Solanum lycopersicum: one gene and its partner. The protein of the gene in region 1 interacts with the protein of each later gene in a pairwise test. Links are inferred from orthologs where the notes say so. Each region holds a gene or a part of one and is shown in the gene's direction. Other genes may lie near its edges.

Region 1 (3,825 bases):
TTTCATTTATTCAGTTTCTTGTCATTGCAGTGAGTTGAGATTCGAGTGATATCATGATTTTGTTCTTGTTTTTCTTTATTGGTAAATTTGCATAAAAAATTCTAAATATAATTGTATTTGTCAAGTGATCTTGATATTTGCTTTGCTGTTACAGGACAAGGATGATGACTGGGAGGGTGGAGAGTCTGATGAGGTCAACAGTGACGATGATGAGGTGGGCATCTCCGATGAAGATGAAGAATTTTACAGAAAATCCCAAGGCAAGCAAAAGAATAGGGGTGGGCATAGTGTAAAATCTACCAGAGTAGTTAGGTCTCTTGCTACATCTGCTCGACAGAAAAGGGGTAGAACATCATATGAAGAGGAAGAATCATCAGAACATGATTCTGAAAACGAGAGTGATGAGGATTTTGGAAATAAACCTAGAAGAGTTGCAAATCTCCGCCTTAAAAATAGTGGTAGATCTTCTGCTGCTAGTGTATCTGGCAGGAATAGTGAAATCCGAACTTCGAGTCGTCGGTCAGTTCGGAAGGTTTCATATGCAGAGAGTGAAGAAAGTGAAGAAATCGATGAGAGCAAGCAAAAGAAGGGCCAAAAGGTGTTATCATCGGTTCCATGCATACTACATTTTTCTGTGTGTCTGTCGTTTGAACTTTTTTTTTTGAGAAAGTTAACTGTTATTATTAACAAAGGAGTACATCAATAGTGTGCAACTCCGTAATTACATCAAAAGTATGCAGGGACAGCCCAAAACAAAATCAACCTCCGTTGTTTGAACTTGTTCTGGTGGATGTATTTTATAGCTTGAATCTTAATTTCTTTACCTTCTTACTGTAGTTTCTTTATGTGCCATTTATATCATTGACCGTTTTCACTGGAAAATGCATGAGCCATTTGCCCTTCATACCAATTGCATGTGCCAGGTGAAATTGCATTTTAAAAAACAAAAGTTCCTGATGAAATTGCTAGTGCTTTGTGAATATGGCTTTTGATATATTTGCTTATTATCTCACATCAGCAAGTCTTTTCATGTCCTTTCTATCTTTTCTAGCCCTGATTGATAGTGTGTAACAATTATTTCATGCAACAGGAAGAACTTGAAGAGGAAGATTGTGACTCAATTGAGAAAGTTTTATGGCATCAGCCAAAGGGCATGGCTGAAGAAGCTGCAATGAATAACAAGTCAGCTGATCCTATGTTGTTGAGTCATTTGTATGACTCTGAACCAGATTGGAATGAGATGGAGTTCTTGATAAAATGGAAAGGCCAGTCTCATTTGCATTGTCAATGGAAGTCATTTGTTGAGCTACAAAATGTATGCCTTTTCAAATCTGTATTCAAGTAACAAATTCATGTTGCTACACTTTCGTATGATAGACTTCATATTCTGTTACGATAGCTATATATTGAAGTGATTAATTTCAGTTTTATCTTTGATTTTTTCCATGCTTGAGCAGCTTAGTGGGTTTAAGAAGGTTTTGAATTACACTAAAAGGGTCATGGAGGATGTGAAGTATAGGAAGACTGTATCCCGCGAGGAGGTGAGAATTATGCACCATTTCTCAAGAATCTCTGAGATACATATTTCTTAGTCCAGTAGAAAGGACTTGACTTGCATGGGCTATTTTAGTTTCTCACGTGTGCTTGTGGTTGTTTAGTGGAAATATTTTAAAGACAATTTAGATAGATTCAAATTTGATTTGTTAATGACTTTTGCATGGTTCACGCCTTCACGGCTATTTAGCTGACATGAAATGAGAAGCTGACTTGTGAGAACATTTGAAATTTCTGATAGATGAGAAAGAGGAGTCACTCTACTCATGGAGCGATGGTTGTTCTGTTCCTTTCTTTTTTGGGTGGGGGACATTTTGCTTTTGCAGTTTTAAGTTTCAAAGTTTGTTGAAGGAGCTTCTTGCCGTTTAACTGTGTAGATGTTTCCTGTAAACCCCCCCCCCCCCCCCCCCCCACCCAAAAAAAATAAAAAATAATAATTTGGCTTGTGTCAAAGAGATAATTTTATAGTTAACTGCATGCTTTATTTTTCAAATTATTTACAGCCTCCTCTCTTATGGACCCTTTTTTCTGTTGTCCATTAGATCGAGGTAAATGACGTGAGCAAGGAAATGGACTTGGATATTATCAAACTGAACAGTCAGGTTTGTTGTTCTTAGAGATCTCTGTCACCTCATTGCACAGTTCACACAGCTCTTAACGCTCATTTTGGTTGATGCATACTTAGGTTGAGAGAGTTATTGCAGACAGAATCAGCAAAGATGGTTATGGTAATGTGGTGCCAGAATATTTAGTTAAATGGAAAGGGCTGTCTTATGCTGAAGCAACTTGGTATGCAGATTGTTTGTGCGCTTGTATCATTTTCTTTGTTCTTTTTATCCTGCCATTTTTTACATAGAAAATGTTTCTTGCGGTTTAATTGGAGAAGAATGGTTGATTAATTGTGTGTACTTGACTTTTCTCACCTCTGCCTGCCATGGATTGTTTGTTATTTGTTTTATCTGCTGACAAATAATATAAATTGCAATTGAAGCTTGAGTCTTAGCGGGTCTCCTTCATGTTATCTCAGGGAGAAGGATGTTGATATTGCTTTTGGTCAAGATGCCATCGATGAGTATAAGGTAGCAATTTGTTCGCATATGCTTTATGGATATTTGATATCCCTCTCGGATCCACCTCCTATGCTGTAGCATTACTGATTAACTCTTTCATTTCCTTAAGTAATGGTGTATATATAGATATAGTTTATGTATATGATCATGCATATTGAGTGTATAGTGTGAAAATAATTAGTGAATGTTTTTGGATAGTAATTGTTTCTGGAGAAGTGTTTGAGAAACTTGAGCACACAGTAATTGCTTGTTTCATTTATCTGATGAATGAAATCAGCGTGCCACCAATTTTATCTATAGAAGATATCACATAGGAAACATTGGTCTTCTCCTGATGCACAATACTTTTATATTCTGATAAGTGACCAGTAAGATTGTGTTTGTTGGAGTATCCCATATTGGTTAAGTGAATGGGCTGTTGTCTCCTACATATGAAGTCTTGGGAGATTCTTACTTCATGAGCTTACCATTTCTTTTCATTGCATCAGAGACATACCCGTTCTCGTTTTTTTATTTTCCATTGTTGGACCTCCATGCTATCTTGGGGGTGCACGAGAGCCGAGGGGATTTGTGTGTTAAAGCGTTCTACATATGTTGAAGTTGTAGTCTTTTTGGATCGGGCCCAAGGTTCATTTTCTTATCACAGTATTTGAATCAAACCCATCCCTGTTTGTAGTTACCCAGTGTTGGGTCCATGTCATATTTTCCAGCCCATGGATGTGTGAGGGGGAGTTATTGACTGTGCCCGAGGGAATGGGACCATTATTCCTTATGGTTATGGGCAATTCTCATCTCATAGCTGAGCTTTGGGGTTGAGTTTGGCGAAAGGTTTATTTTCTTTACGCTTTTAAGGTCAAGAAGGTTTGTTTACTAAATTACTTTTGAATCATTGAATCTTGCTTCTGAGAACGTATAATTGTTATGCAATTTGCAGGCTCGTGAGGCTGCCATTATGGTACAAGGGAAATCAGTGGATTTCCAGCGCAAAAAGAGCAGAGGTTTTACCTTCTTATCTTTCCAGCTAATCTCATCCTCTTATTCTGTTATTAACATCTGCCCCCTCCAATTTCAACTCGTCATTCCATACTTTTGCATCTCTTTCTGTGTTGTCTCTAGTCTCAGATAAACTCTTATAGGCAAATTAGATACATGCCTCACCCATCTCATCTGTCTTCTTTACAATATTGTTCATTGTCTTCCT
Region 2 (4,467 bases), on another chromosome or scaffold:
TTTGTCATGCAATTTGCTTACAATGTTTATATTTTTTTTTTTGATATTCTCCATTTTGCAGATCAAGAAATGGGAGGCATAGGTTATATAGGTGTAGCATAATGGAAGTTTTTACTAGACGTTGGAGTCATCTGAAGGAACATTGCAGAATGAACCACCATGAAGGCCTGTAATTATGCAGTTTAGTTTACAGTAGCTAATTCAGCCTGTGAGGATGAAGTTGCTTAAATTTGATTTCTCCACCATACCCCTCTGGAAAACATGTTTACTATAGTCATGTAAATTACCTCCTGATGCCAAAGAATGAGGTGAAGTTGTTTGTTTTCCCCTTTATCAAACAGGTTTTATGACGTTACAAATCACAAACGGTTTTTTTTTCAAGGATACCTGTAGACTTCACAATGATATCCTTTTGACGTTTTCTTTACAAGAGGTTCGTCTTGTAAGTAGAGGGATTTAGGTGACAAACACCCTAGCAGTCACCATATTAGCGATTTAGCTAAGCTTCTGCAATATTATCAATCATCATCTCAAAAGCTATGAGAATTTACAACGTATCATAAACATATATAATTAGTACAACTTTGATAGGCAAATTAGTCGTCTATATAAGCTAGTAACCTTCATTAGGTTATATTCCTTCATGAATAAGGATAATAAGAAGCTAAGGAATCATCATATTCCTTTTCTTATTGATCATGTTATGTTTTACTTAGAGTTGAAACTCTAACGAAAAGGGAATCTCTCTTCTTTTACAATGTAGGGGTAGAATTGTGTATACGTTGTTGTTAAATAATCCATCATATACTAGCATAAATAAATCTCACTGGGAGTCGATGCACACTTTAGGCAAATGCAGATGTTGATAGAGTAATAGTATAAAAGACATATATAGCATTAGAAAAAACAACAAACTAGTGATGAAAGATATATATAGCATAATAGTTTTTCAGTGTCGAATGTCATTAAAGTACTCTAATAAGATCATTTTAATAAAAACACATTTAACCAACAAAAACATACTATAAATGAAATCCAGGAAGAGTGGTGCGTACGCAACATTACAAACAGCTCATACAACTAAAATATAGAAAAGTGTAATATATTTTCTCTCTCATTGTTATGTCATCGGGGATGTAGCTCAAATGGTAGAGCGCTCGCTTTGCATGCGAGAGGCACGGGGTTCGATCCCCCGCATCTCCATATGGTAGATTCATTTTTTTCATACCTTGTTTTTTTTAATATATAACACATGTTGAATTCTTTTTTTTCTCATACTTCATAACGTATGTAAATCATTTCTTTCTCATACTTTATAACGTATGTTGAATTATTTTTTTCTCATACTTCATAACGTATGTAAATCATTTTTTTCTCATACTTTATAACGTATGTGAAATTATTTTTTTCTCATATCTTAACGTCTCTTGTGAGTGATGTGCATTATTTCTCTTATGTTGTCAATTTGAACTATTTCAAGCTAAACTTGAAAAATACAATAATTTAAAATTATATCAAGTTATCAATTCAAAGAATTTGGCAAGAGTAAAACTTGACCAAAAGAAGTTTATTTTTAAAATTTCTTCAAGACTTTATGACCAATAACATTTTATTATTTGAAAATAGCGAAATGATTCAAACACGTAATTAAGAAAGCATTATAGTTATGATATTATAATCTTACTTTTCGCTAATGATTGATCAAAAATTTTAGATCGAATTTTGAAAATATATCTTCAAATAGTTATTTGATTATGTAATTTGATCTTCAAATATTTCAATTTCCTCCAAAAAGTTTGGCTGTAGTTTTTTTTTTTCCGGTAGTTGTTATACACAAAACCTTTTTTGAAAAATCATGAAAATACATGTTCAAACATTACTTCAAATTTCAAAAATCAAAACTTCAAAAACCCAATAATTTTAGCTTCAAAATTTTCGATAAAACGAAAATTTACTTATCCTAAAACTTGTATTGTTTATATCTTAAGCCTTTTATTGAGATATCTTCACTAGTTTCACAAAATAAAATAACAACAACAACAATACTATGATCAATTTCATAAGTAATATTCAAAAAAGAAAAATGTGTAAATATCATATTCAATATCATCAAAGTAATTATAGTGTCCTGTTAATTATGTGATAATGTAAAATATTGGAATATTAACAAACCTTAAGCCGGCCTAATTGATCTTTACGCCGCCGGTGACGGATTTTCTGTAAAAGTAGTCGTCTTTCCCACCTATACCTGGCCGCCACGTGTCCTACTCCTCGGCACCCTAAGACCGACGCCGTTACACCATCCTCTGTTTCTTCGTCCACCGATAAATTGTCCAAAAAATAAAACTTTTACCCAAAACTAAACTCAATTACTAACCAAACAGTCCCTCCCCTCATTATATACCGCCGGTCAACCGAAACCCTAACCAAAAATTCCTTCTTCATCATCTTCTCACTCAACTCTCGGATCGGCGGCGCACCGGAATCGGTTAAAGTTTATGGAGAACGACGAAGAAACTCAGTCCGGTGGTTCTGGATCTCCGGAATCACCACGATCTAACGGGAGGATAACGGTGACGGTAGCATCAGCGCCTCCTCAGAACACCTTGACGTTGGCTCTACCGATACAGCAATCGAGACCTGCTGGAGCGTCTGGCGGCGGTGGAGGTAGTGGTGGTGGAAGGGAGGATTGTTGGAGTGAAGAGGCTACGGCTGTACTGATCGAGGCTTGGGGTGAGCGTTACATGGAATTGAGTAGAGGTAATTTGAAGCAGAAGCACTGGAAAGATGTTGCTGACATTGTTAGCAGTCGGGAGGATTATAGAAAAACGCCTAAAACTGATATTCAGTGCAAAAATCGAATTGATACTGTAAAGAAGAAATACAAGCTGGAGAAATCTAAGATCGCTGCGGGTCAAGGACCAAGCAAGTGGCCTTTCTTTGATAAGCTCGATATGTTGATAGGTCCGACGGCTAAGATCAATCCTACCGTCGCTGCCGGACCGTCTAATTTGTATTCAGGTAACCAACATGTGCCTATGGGTATTCCTATGGGAGTCAGGTCCCTTCCTCAGCTCCGACAACATCAACAGCTGCAGAAACAAAAGCAACCGTCCCGGAAAAGGCCTCACATGGATTCAGACACATCGGAATCGGAGTCTGAACCGGACCTTTCACCTGCTTCAACCGACAGCTTTCCTCCAGGCACATTTCAAAAAAAGAGACCAAGGTTTCAGAAGGAAATGCTGAATTCAAGCGCATTAAGGGGAGGAATTGGAGAAGCTAGTGGAAACAAGAATTGGGGGAATTCAGTGAGGGAGTTGACACAGGCAATACTAAAATTTGGGGAAGCATATGAACAAACAGAGACCGCGAAACTGCATCAAATGGTGGAGATGGAGAAGCAGAGAATGAAATTTGCGAAAGATATGGAATTGCAGAGAATGCAGTTCTTCATGAATACACAATTGGAAATTGCACAGCTTAAGCACAGGAGAAGTGAAAACAGCAACCATCACAGCAACAACCATGCTGCCGCCACCAGCAACCATAACAACAACAACAACAACAGTGATAACAGTATTTAAGGTGTAATAAAGATCCATGAGGCTCAGTATCTGACAGAGGTTTGTATTTGTAATGTGTTTAGTTTTACTGCTAAACTTCTTACTTCATTTGAAAACCAAGTGGTAGAATATTATATACTTCATTAATTCTCAATTGGAAGTTTATCTAACTCAACTAAGCTTTCCAACTTTGCCTTTACTTTTATACCATAGATTGACTTACATTTATTTGAACAACAATTAAATAGTCTTTTAACTTCTACAAACTCCATTTTGTTTATGGAGTTTAAGTTCATTGGCCTCATACAGCAACAACTTCGGTTTGCTCCCAACGATGAGAGTTCCTACTCGAGACTCAATCAAGGCTAATGTGTAAAAGGTGTTCTTGCTTTTATACAATGTTCCATAGAGTAATAGGTAGCTAAAATTAAGATAGAATAGGCCAGCACATCCTACCCTTCGGGTGGCCTAGTGATTTAGGCTTCGACTTCCATGTTGATCAATGTTTACCTGCATATAACAGGATGTGTTGCCTAATCCCAATCGTAGAAGGATTCCTTAATTGACAAAGTTTTCTTAATTAAACTTAAAGAAAATTGCTTTCCTTATTTAATTAAGGAAAATTGCGTGGAAGGTTTTCTGCTATTCAAGTCAACTGTGAGGAGGAGTTGTTGCAGTAACATAGCAAAGTTAAGGAGTTGAAGATGTGACACCTAAACTAAGTCGAAGAAGAAGTTCGAGTAGGAGTTGGGTTAAAGAAGTTTTTCTTTTTGCGGCAAAGACAAATAAGAAAAAGATTCCAAATTCAAGTTGAGTTTAAAGAAGTCAAGTTCAAGTTGAAGATGTGGCAAAAGTTAAGTTCAAGTTGAACAAGGAGTTGAAGAAAACTGAATACAAGTTC

The links.
Region 2: the proteins of protein CHROMATIN REMODELING 5 (region 1) and trihelix transcription factor ASIL2 interact in binary tests that used the Arabidopsis thaliana proteins (3 or more experiments, as listed by UniProt). The link is inferred for Solanum lycopersicum from reciprocal best matches to the Arabidopsis thaliana genes CHR5 and ASIL2.

Annotation. Positions count from the first base shown.
Region 1 is NC_090811.1:69,077,955-69,081,779, forward strand, and holds part of protein CHROMATIN REMODELING 5, read left to right. Parts: intron 1-154; coding exon 155-598; intron 599-1,090; coding exon 1,091-1,315; intron 1,316-1,457; coding exon 1,458-1,541; intron 1,542-2,096; coding exon 2,097-2,156; intron 2,157-2,239; coding exon 2,240-2,343; intron 2,344-2,581; coding exon 2,582-2,633; intron 2,634-3,558; coding exon 3,559-3,622; intron 3,623-3,825. UniProt on the Arabidopsis thaliana protein: DNA-binding helicase that specifically binds to the promoter of target genes, leading to chromatin remodeling, possibly by promoting deposition of histone H3.3. Probable chromatin remodeling factor.
Region 2 is NC_090802.1:66,860,622-66,865,088, forward strand, and holds the start of trihelix transcription factor ASIL2, read left to right. Parts: upstream 1-1,408; 5' UTR 1,409-2,498; coding exon 2,499-3,587; 3' UTR 3,588-3,626; intron 3,627-4,184; exon of another isoform or gene 4,185-4,200; 3' UTR 4,201-4,467. UniProt on the Arabidopsis thaliana protein: Transcription regulator that may repress the maturation program during early embryogenesis.